Rattus norvegicus: one gene and its partners. The protein of the gene in region 1 purifies or fractionates together with the protein of each later gene. This does not show direct contact. Links are inferred from orthologs where the notes say so. Each region holds a gene or a part of one and is shown in the gene's direction. Other genes may lie near its edges.

Region 1 (3,747 bases):
GGCCACAAGGGCTAGGTATGATTAATTACCCGTTTGTGTCGACCACTTAGGAGGAAGGGGTACCCAAGGCTTTCTTCTATGTACCCTAGACTGGATTTAGCATTGTCATCCTCCTTCCTCGATTTCTGAGTAGCTGGGATGGCAACCCCACAGTTCTTTATCTAGTTCCTTCCTCCTCCTCCTTCTCCTCCTTTCCATGTTTATTGGAAGGAACGCTGCTTTTCTTGCTCCTCGGACTATTTTTTGAGCACTGCACAGGCTATGGAACCTACCCCGATGCTGGGGTCCCTGCAGTAGGACCCTGTTTGCTTGGGTCCTCAGCATGGGCTTTGAAGGCATTGTCAAGCGTACAGGGTGAGGCGGGAGCTGACACTGCCTCTTCTATAGAAAAGGTGCCAGAGACAACTGGGAGCACGTGCCAGCAACAAGTGGGGAAAGGGCCTATGTGCACAGAGCATGCTCGTCTGGGAGGCCTCAGGGCAGAACTTGGGGGTTCTGAGCCCAGAAAGCGGGGAGCCCCGACTAGATCTGCTCCCTGACGGCTGATAAAATTCATCTTGAACTTGCTGTGCTTCCTTGGTGCTTTATTAGGATTATCTAGGTTGTCGAGCCGCGCCGGGAGGTGGCGGTGTGGTCACGCGCACGGGTCTGGCCGCGTCCAAGTTCAAGCTCTGGGTGGGGAGCTAGCTTCCCGTCGCCGTTTCGTTAATAACTTAAAGAGCCAGGCCGAGGTGCAGGGGCGGGACGCGGCCGGGGCTCTGCCACTCGGCGCGGGAGGACTCCGACTCCGGTCGCAGTGCTGGGCTGGCCGCGCCCGGAAGCCAGACGTCGCCTCGCTGGGCCGGAGGAAGGGTCTCCCGCCCGTGTGCCCCGGGTCGCTCCTGGGGTCCCTCATTCAGGGCAACCACGCGGGGGGCCGCCACCTCGATTTCCCCCCATCCCGCTGCCCCGCGTGCGCGCGCCGCCTCCAGCCTCCTCCCCTGCCCCCTCTCTCCCTGCCACCTTCCCTCCTCCCCGCCGTCCCCTCCCTCCTCCCCGCCTCCTCCCTCCTTCCCTCCCCGCTGTTCCCTCCTTCCCTCCCTCCCCGCGGTCCCCTCCCTCGTCGTCCCTCTCGCCCCTCCTCCTCCCCTCCCTCCTCCCGCTCCCCTCCCCCTCCGCTCCCGCCGCCTCCGCCCGCCGCCCCGGCCGCGTCGGGTAAACCTGTTCTGCGAGGCGGCCGCGCCGGGGCGGATCGAGCGGCCGGCGGGTCCTCGCGGCTCGCGGCGTCGGGGCCCGTGGAGCGCGCGGCCGGCCCTCGGCCGCGGCCCTCGGCAGCGCCACCATGTACTCGGGAGCCGGCCCCGGTGAGTCCGCGCGGCGCCCGGCACTCGTGCCGCGGCGGTTGGCGGTTGGCGGGCGGGGCAGGCGAGGGCGGCCCAGCCTGTGGGGCCGCGGCGTAGCCTCGGGGCAGCCGGGTAGGGCCTCGGGGCAGGGAGGCCCAGTGCACCGGAGCAGCGCGGCCCGGACGTGTTTGGGGGCCCAGGCCCGGCCTGCAACGGGTCTCGGTCCTCCCGCAGCGCTCCTCCCTCTGTCCCCAAGCGCATAGCTGTGGGGCCCAGCATGCGGGGCCTGGGGCGGGGAGCTGGACGGGTCGGGAACCGAACCCCGGGGCCCCGGGACCGCGATCGTCTGCTTGGACGCAGTTCCACGCTGGGCAGCCGCCCTCCCCATTCAAGTGCTAATCGCCCTGCGATTTCCTAGCGGAGCGGGTGGCCGCCGTGGCACCCCTTCCCACCAGCGTGCCCGTTTCTCTGGAAAAGTTCCAGAAAACTTAAAAACACGAACGTATTTTCCCACCCCGCTTTTCGAGCAGAGTGGAGGGCGGTTTACTCGCGGGGTTGAGAAAACAAGTGTTGGGAGGCTTTTTCGCCTTCTCCCGCCAGGCACGTGGCTCCATTTCCCGGCCGCCCCGCCGCTTGCTCGGGCTCAGCCTGCCCCCCTTTGTCCGCCAGGCTGTACTTGGCGCCCGCGGGCCCTCCCTGCTGCCCACCTGACCTAGTGGTTCGGCCCTGGGGCCTCCCCAGACTTCTTCACTGTGGGGTCTGGAAGCCTCCCAGATCCTCCCGGGTTCCCTACGGTGCTTGCTCCGGAGCCTAGTGCGCCTCCTCTCCTGATGTCATAGGGCTCCTCGAATGCCCACTGACCAACTTCTAAATGCGTTAAAGGGCTTCCCAGTAATTTGAAGACCCTTTTAACCTTGCGCTTGGGAGGTGTCCGGGTCCTGGAGGCAGATGTTGGGGTCTGGAGGTCCCCTGCGAAATGACCAGGGCAGCCTCCTGCCAGATTGGGAATCCCCCCTCCCCCCCAGCTCAGCGCTGTGGAGGAACCCAGCAAACATTAACTCCGAATATGTACGTTTTTCCTGAGTGTCAGTTTCTAGTGATCTTCTTGGAGACGAGGCCATGCTTTTCTCTATTTTGCGTGTTGATCCTTTCAGCTTGCCACAGTGGGCCTTTCTGGAGACAGGCAGTGGAGGCTCAGAGAGGTTTAAGAACCCTTTAACATCCGGGAGCCTGCATTAGGACAACCTGTTTGAGCACTCCTATAGAAATGGTTTCCCAGTCCCTTTGACCTTGACCCCACTGTTGGAAGCACTTGTTTGGTGTGGATTAGACCAGTGAATTCCCAAGTAGGGTGGAAAGGAAGAGCCTACTGTGTGTTCCGCGAGGGCATCTTTGTTGCCTTTTCAAAAAGAATGCGGTAGCCTGGATCAACCGGTTCATTTTGGTCACTGGCAGCTTTGAAGATGGCTGCTGCTGCGTGGGCCTCCGCATTGTGGCCTAAGGGAGAGACAGTCCCCTCTAACCAGAAAGCCTTGGGTGAGAAAAGAGATGCCTGTAGGGTAATTCTTGGCTAATGGCAGGCTGGGAAGGAACCCAAGTTTCAGGTGGGCCAGTGTGCTGTAATTGCAAGGCTGGAGTGCAGCTCCATTTTATTGCACATAGCACATACAAAGGCTTTTAATTTTGTTTACAAGGAACCCCTCCACCTCCATCCTTCAAAGAGACTCCATATTTCCAAGTTTAGGAGAATGGAAGGCCATTGGATCTGAATTAAAGAAAAGTTACCAAGTTTTGCTGTTTCCGAGCTTGATGGGAAGTAAATACTTAGTAAATTAACTTTAAAAATAGAATCCACAGTGGGTTCTCATTGTGTCTGTTACAAATACTGTTACATGTGTGAGATTAGTAGCACTGGGGGCCAAGGTTCAGAACCTCACAGATTTTTCTTTCCTATTGGAAAAGGTTAGTGGTTTAGGGTAGATAAATTCTCTTCCCACCCTGAAATTTCCTAGATAGTGGGTTCTAGGTGGGGTTTCCCCCATCGAAGGATCTTAAACTGTCTGGGAGGAGCTTTGCCTCCTGCAAAGAGATGCTCCTGCTTTATAGCCTATGAATATTTGCTACAAAATAACCTCGGAGACTGTGGAAACCCGACTGAGAGCTGCGGATCACGACTGCGTCTTTGATCATCGCTTTACTCTCTGTGGTCTCCAATGGCAGCAGTTAGCCCCTTCCCCCACCCTCCTCCCCAATTCACAGTTTTGTCTGAGGGTACCACTGCTGCCTGGCGGCCTGTGTGCTGCAGGGAAAGCGTTGCCAACAGCTGGAAGGCACAGCCGGGTGGCTGAGCACTTGTGGGAAATCTTCCCCCCAGGAGCTTGTGAAGGGATTTAAATAAGTGTTCAGGGGAAAAGATGTAAAAGCT
Region 2 (3,747 bases), on another chromosome or scaffold:
AACTGGAGCAAGAAAGCAAGAGAGGAGGGGCCCTTTTATAGTGAGTCAGGCACATCTGGTTGTTGCCAGGTAACTGGGGTGGAGCCTAGACAAAATGCTAATAGTCTCTTTTGCAACAGACTCCACTCTCATGCAGTTCGAATGATTTATTGATGTTTCTGCTAACCCTGCTACCCTTTCAGTGTGTTTCAGCCGTCAGGAACTCTTAAGCCCATCCCCTACCAGTGGAGCCATGCTACTTCCTTGTGTCTGCCAAAATGTTCTTTAGCAAGTTTCGTTTTTCTTCAGCTCTTCCACTTTGGCAATGTAGATCCTCATGGCATCCATCTTGGACATCCCTTTGTTTACCATCCATGCCTCCCATTTGGCCTTTGCTTTCACATCTGTGGCAGGAGGGACAGGGATGTTACAGTCGCCCTGGGTGGCCTGTTTGTAGAAGCTGTACACCAGCAGTTTCTCCTGATCACTCAAAGGACCCTTCAGCTGCTTGAGTGAAGCGCAGGCCATTTCAAACTCCACTTGGCTCATTGGTATACCAGAAGCCGTGCCTCTGTGTTATAAGTGATACCTGGTACTAGAAGAAAGTTGGAAATAAGCAAGTCAGGTGATCATTAGGCCTTGAAAGAAGGGACAAAGAGATAGTGTGTGTTTGATAACGTACAAGCTGTGGACCAGGAGTCCATTCGATTGCTCCTGCTCCACAGTGCTTTTTCCAGTATGACTGCCCTTCAAAGTTATAAAAGCACCTATGAGCTCTGAAAGTTGACTATGCTGTTGCCCGTAGAAGGCAGTACAGCATGAAAAGCATACAGGGCATTTGTGTATGTCTCAGCGTGGATGGGAAGAAGATAAATCCCGTGGATCCGCTGCTGGTTAGTAGACAGCCCAAGGAAAATTATTCCATATGGGTGAATCATGGGCGGGAGCTGCCCGGGGTTCCTGAGGGTGAATGAAGAGTCTGAACTAAGGGATTCGATCTACTGGCCTCTAGAGGCCAGGTTCCACTTGGAGACGGCCAACGGTACCTGTGAGTAGACGGCTGGAAAGCCTACGCCGAGAGAGGGCGCTGTGGGTAGGGCGGCTTCGACGCCGCGAGCTTGTTGGAAAGGAGTACGCGTGCGCCCTGGACGGCAGCGGATAGCAGAGTACAACACGGAAGCGGAGACGCTCTGTGGGCGGGGCCTGTGACGCGCCTGTAGCGCCGCCCTTTGTGCCGTGGCGCCTTGTTCGCGGCCTTGGAATAGGAGGGGCGGTCTAGCCCGCCGCCAGCGTCGCCGCCATGGACCTAGGTGGGTTCCTGCTTCCCTACTCTGGCCTGGGCCGCGCCCCACAAAGTACCTCCAGGGCGGGCGGAGGCCCTGCGCTGCTTCTATGGCGCTCTCTCGAGTCCGCTCGGGAGGCTGGGGGCTTGAGGAGTTTGGGGGACCCGCAGCCGCGAGGCCGGCCTGCAGCCCTGCCTCACGTTTGTCTCCTCGATTCCTCCTCCGTCCTTCGTAGTGTCTTCTCAGTGGGAAACCGCGAGCGAATGTAGCCTTGGTTCTCCTGGAAATGCACAGGGCTACTGCACGTGTTTCGGAAATGCGGCTCTGGGACGGACGGACGTTCGGACCGTTCTTCCTTATTGAATGACCGCCGAGTTAGTGAACATGTTTCTTAACAGGTTTCCTAGTGCATTTCTCCCAGAGGCTTGGCGTTTTCTCTGCGACCACGTGCATAACAGCACCCCCTTCGTTGACTTACACGCTGTGGTGCCCTTCAGCCCTCGCTTGCGAGCAGGGGTTGTGCAGCCTGAGATGGCACTTTTTGAATCCGAATTCGAGTGCTGCTTGGTTTGCAGTATCCTCCTAGGCGAGGTCTGGAAGAAAGGCAGTTGATAGAAATCTGTGGCCATCTGCCAACCCTACCCACCCTGCTAGGTGTGCTCTTTAGAGGGTAAGACGAGGAGGCCGTCCTGGGAAGTACTCCAAGATTTGCAAATAATACGCTATGGAGAAATGTCTTTGTCCCTAGCCAGCTCTTCAGTGTGGAATGGTAGTTTCGTGCCCTGCAGCTGTAAAGAGTGCTGCCACGGCTTGACTCCCTAGTTGACACCCTGCAAAATTGTGTCTAGGTCTCTAGGTTCCCATCTCTAAAACAGAAGTGATAATCCTTAAGAAGTTAGTTTGATGATTAAATGATTTTTATAGGTGTAAAGCTGGGTGTGATGGCTTCTGTCTAACTAGCACATTGAAGGCAGGAGGAGCTCAAGAGTTCTAGGCCTGGCTGGAGAGATGGTTCAGTGGTTAAGAGCACGGACTGCTCTTCCAAAGGTCCTGAGTTCAATTCCCAGCAACCATCTATAATGGAATCCGATGCCCTCTACAGTGTACTCATATAAATAAATCTTTAAAAAAAGAGAGTTCTAGGCCAACCTGGTCTCTACATTTTCAAGCCAATTCCAGGTATGTAACAAGAGCCTATCTCAGAAAAAAAAAAAAGTATGCCACCAAGCCCAGTGCCTACCAAAGTAAGCAGTCACTTCCTAGCACCAGCTACTGATAAAAGCCTTTGAGTTTCCTGTAGCTATGAACCGAGTCTGGGACTTTCTCAAGCCACATGTACACAGTGCCTGAAATGCACATGTTTGGCAGCAGACATCTGCTCAGCTAAGCTGATGTCTAATGCAATAAAATTTAATTCACAGTTATAAGGAAATGTGTTTGGGGCAGGCAGAACAACCTAAGCCAGAAAGAACCCTAGCTCTGTGAGCCTAGCCGCTGCTGTGGAAACCAAGCTTTCAGGCTTGAGTTTTGTGGGAATGCTGATCCTTGACTTGGGGTGGGTGAGCAGTGACAGTAAATGGTTGGTGGCCAGGAGATTCTGTAGTTGCCTGGAGTCAGTCATTTTTTTCTGGGGGTGGGAGAAGTTTGAGACGGTGTCATGATGCAGCCTTGGCTAGCCTGAAACTCCGTATGTGGACCAGGCTTGCCTCACAAAAGTCTGCCTCATTAGAGCTGGGACTAAAGGGATAGGCCCCCCCACAACTGTCCACTGGAGGGGGTATTTTTGCTATTGACTCTGTGGCCTATGAAAATAGGGCAGACATGCTTCTGGGAGCATAGAGGACTGACTGAGCAAAGAGCTAGGCCCTGGGAAGAGGTAGAAGTTGTTAGGAACAGTGACCATGACAAGTTGTTGCAGTCTTAGTTTCTAGGCCAGATTATGCGCTTTGAAAAAAGACCTGTGCCCGTTTGTTTCTGCACTGGAGGAGGCAAAATGCTGACACGACTACTCCTGCCAACAATTGAGCATTTAAATCAGGTGCTCTTGGTGGTCTGATTATTGTTAAGATGGCTTATATAACCTTCCATTCTTCCATCCCAAGGAGATGCTTCAAAAAGGTATCAGTACCAAAATAGTCACAAAGTGCCATTAGTGGATGTCGTATGTCATGGGATTCTCACAGTTATACCATCAATTATATTCTCATGTATGCAGACGGGAGACTCAGTGATGTGTGTAAAGTCCCATCATTTTTTTAATGACTGAGCTAGAATTTAAATCCATTGTCTTGGTTAAACCCCCATATTGCCTTCCTTTAAATATCTGTATCAGTTCTTAGCTCAGTGAATGAATTTCCTGATGTAATATTTGTTGTGTCCACTTCCTGGTTCTTGCCAAGAGCCAGAACCTTCACTAGCTTGTTCTTTTTGACTGGAAGAAAATGCTGAGTGAACTTTTTCCCTGTAAGGTACAGAATGTTGAAGC
Region 3 (2,764 bases), about 29 Mb from region 1:
CTTGTTTGAGACCCAAAAGGTACTCCAGGACCGGCTGTACTGCTCCTTTACCTCTGTCACAGGGATTTTACTGAAGTATTTCCACATCTAAATGCTACTAGGAAGTAGCGAGCCTCACTTGGTGGAGACTGGGGAGGGAGGAGCAAGGCTAGATGTTTGGACAGATAGCTGCCTGCCTGGTGAAGAATTGGGAGGTGGCAGTGGCTGGCACTTCATCCTTGTCCAGGACAGAAGGAACCGTTTTCCTCAGCGTTGGTCTGGGCCGTTTTTCCTTTAGGAGCCCTCCCATGGAGATGCAGCCCCCTGTCTCTCCTCAGCAGTCTGAGTGCAACCCTGTTGGTGCTCTGCAGGTGTGCCTCATCTTCATTGTCGTGTGTGCTGTCTTCTCTGAACTAGGGCCCTGAGGCAGGGATGTGCGCCCTCGTGGGTGGGGTGGTCCTCCTTCTCATTCAGAGGCTGAGGCTCTTGGTAGAAAGCCACTCGGGTAAGGAACCTTTCTTTCCCCATTAAACCTTGGACTCTTCTGTTTTTCTCTCAAGGAGCTGGTGGTGCAGAAAGGCTGGCGTTTGCCAGAGTACATGGTGACCCAGGAGTCTGGGCCTGCTCACCGCAAAGAGTTCACCATGACCTGCCGGGTGGAGCGTTTCATTGAGATTGGTAACTGGGGAAAAGGGGGTTCACTCACCTTCTCTCCGCCACACTATAGCCCCACACAAGGTGGCTCTTTGCCTGGCTGTGCTCTGTCCCAACTTTCTTTGCTTTGCAGCTCCTTGCTCAGTTCTTCCCTCCCTGTCTCTTCCTTGTCCCTGCCCATCTTTCCCCTCTTTTCTGGCTCATCAACTCCTCAGTGAAAACGAACAGGCCTTGAGCTCCTCTTTGCAGTTATCCCATAAGGGGACCTTCTATCCAAGTTAACTTAGAGGGAAAGCATTGGTCTGTTAGGAATCCCCAAATCGAACAATTCCTTCCCTATCCTCAGGCAGTGGGACCTCCAAGAAGCTGGCAAAGCGCAACGCGGCAGCTAAGATGCTGCTTCGAGTGCACACGGTACCTCTGGATGCCCGCGACGGCAACGAGGCTGAACCTGATGACGATCATTTTTCCATTGTAAGTGGCTTGTGTGGGCTCGCCATGTGGTTCACACTGCAGGACGTGGTGTGGAATTGGGTTGGGTCTGTGATTTGGAAGTGAGTTGGACCTGCTTCTCTACCAAACCCAGGGCTCTTTGAACCTGTGACACCTAGCAGTCCCCTCAGCCTATGTGTAGGGTCACTAGGGAAAGCTGGCCTAGGGCAAAGGCCCTGTAGCAACTTTTCCTGGGATGAGGAAGCCTGCCAGGGGTCAGAGTATGCCCTGTTCTTGGGTTCTTAGCTGCATTCTCACCCTTATCTCATTAGGGCGTGAGCTCCCGCCTGGATGGACTAAGGAACCGTGGGCCAGGCTGCACCTGGGATTCCTTACGGAATTCTGTGGGAGAAAAGATCCTGTCCCTTCGCAATTGCTCCGTGGGCTCTCTGGGGTCTTTGGGCTCTGCCTGCTGCAGCATCCTCAGTGAGCTCTCTGCGGAGCAGGCTTTCCATGTCAGCTATCTGGATATTGGTATGGCCAGCCAGGGACTGGGGATGGAGGGGACTGGATCAGAGCAAGTATAAAGGAGTTGGGAGATGGGTGATGTACACTGCTTGGTGCCCCTCCCCACCAGTGCCTCCCTCTTTTTTGGCTTCCAGAGGAACTGAGCCTGAGTGGGCTCTGCCAGTGTCTAGTGGAGCTGTCCACGCAGCCAGCCACTGTGTGTTATGGTTCTGCCACTACCAGGGAGGCAGCCCGAGGTGATGCTGCTCGCCGCGCACTACAGTACCTCAGGATCATGGCCGGTAGCAAATAGCACCCACTACAGTGATGGATATCTGTTACTTCTTGCTCCTTCTGCCCTGGGTCTATGCGTCTGCCTAGCTCTGGTGCCCTCCAGAGGTGCCATCTCTACCTCTGACACAGCTTGCCTGCCTTGAGACTGAGGAAGGCAAAGGCAAGCAAGGAGCCATGAACCACAGGGCCCCAGCCAGCGCAGGGTTTGCCCTCATTCCATGGATGATGAATGAAAGGAAATTGGAATTCTATTGGAATCCAGAATAAATGCTGCTCTTTGGCTTCTTAAACCCTGTGTTCTCTGGCCCTGGGTCATGAGGGTGTCAAAGGAATACACAGTGTTTGTTCTCCTTCTGAACCCCATTCTTTTTGCTACAGGCAGGAGGCAAGGTGCAGTAGCCTTGGGGACCCTCCAGCAGAATGGCTGGAGACTGATTGAGTGGAGGTAAAGGAGGCTATAACTATTGCTCTTGGGCTCCCACCCGTTCCCTGAGAGTCTTGTCCAAACACAGATGCAGAAGCCAGACCACTTTATTTGGGGGCACACATGGAATGTGGGGAAGTGATTTTGCATGCAGACATATCACAGCAGATGATGTTACTTCTTCCCAAAGCGCTGAGGAGCGGCCAGGCTCCAGAACTCTCTAGCCTGGGGACTTAGCTGCTCCTTGCTCCAGGGCCCCCAAGCATTTCTGCCAAACCTTAGGAGAGATTCATCTTTAGTCGGCACTCCCTGTATCTCACCTTCCCTCACATCTTCCTCTGCCCTCCTCCCTTCCCAGCCTCTGCCTTTTGGAACTCACCTCTGGGGCTGAAACAAGAAGGCTGGGTTCCTTCTAGGTCTCTCCATGGCCTGGAGCAGAACACGCATGAGGGACCCAGGAGTCTGGATCCTGTC

Evidence for each region.
Region 2: the proteins of Ago2 (region 1) and Gemin4 purify together in Homo sapiens (affinity purification with western blotting; 4 studies listed by BioGRID and IntAct, with this or other methods). This does not show direct contact. The link is inferred for Rattus norvegicus from reciprocal best matches to the Homo sapiens genes AGO2 and GEMIN4.
Region 3: the proteins of Ago2 (region 1) and Tarbp2 purify together in Homo sapiens (co-immunoprecipitation; 10 studies listed by BioGRID and IntAct, with this or other methods). This does not show direct contact. The link is inferred for Rattus norvegicus from reciprocal best matches to the Homo sapiens genes AGO2 and TARBP2.

Annotation. Positions count from the first base shown.
Region 1 is NC_086025.1:106,991,553-106,995,299, reverse strand, and holds the start of Ago2 (protein argonaute-2), read left to right. Parts: upstream 1-1,175; 5' UTR 1,176-1,321; coding exon 1,322-1,343; intron 1,344-1,350; exon of another isoform or gene 1,351-3,747.
Region 2 is NC_086028.1:61,569,172-61,572,918, reverse strand, and holds the start of Gemin4 (gem-associated protein 4), read left to right. Parts: upstream 1-1,254; 5' UTR 1,255-1,279; coding exon 1,280-1,289; intron 1,290-3,747. Other genes in the region: Dbil5 (diazepam-binding inhibitor-like 5), read right to left, coding at 265-528. UniProt on the Homo sapiens protein: The SMN complex catalyzes the assembly of small nuclear ribonucleoproteins (snRNPs), the building blocks of the spliceosome, and thereby plays an important role in the splicing of cellular pre-mRNAs.
Region 3 is NC_086025.1:135,530,671-135,533,434, forward strand, and holds the end of Tarbp2 (RISC-loading complex subunit TARBP2), read left to right. Parts: intron 1-277; coding exon 278-350; intron 351-539; coding exon 540-657; intron 658-979; coding exon 980-1,107; coding exon of another isoform or gene 1,108-1,111; intron 1,112-1,397; coding exon 1,398-1,599; intron 1,600-1,727; coding exon 1,728-1,885; 3' UTR 1,886-2,156; downstream 2,157-2,764. Other genes in the region: Npff (pro-FMRFamide-related neuropeptide FF preproprotein), read right to left, coding at 2,465-2,567, 2,670-2,764. UniProt on the Homo sapiens protein: Required for formation of the RNA induced silencing complex (RISC). Component of the RISC loading complex (RLC), also known as the micro-RNA (miRNA) loading complex (miRLC), which is composed of DICER1, AGO2 and TARBP2.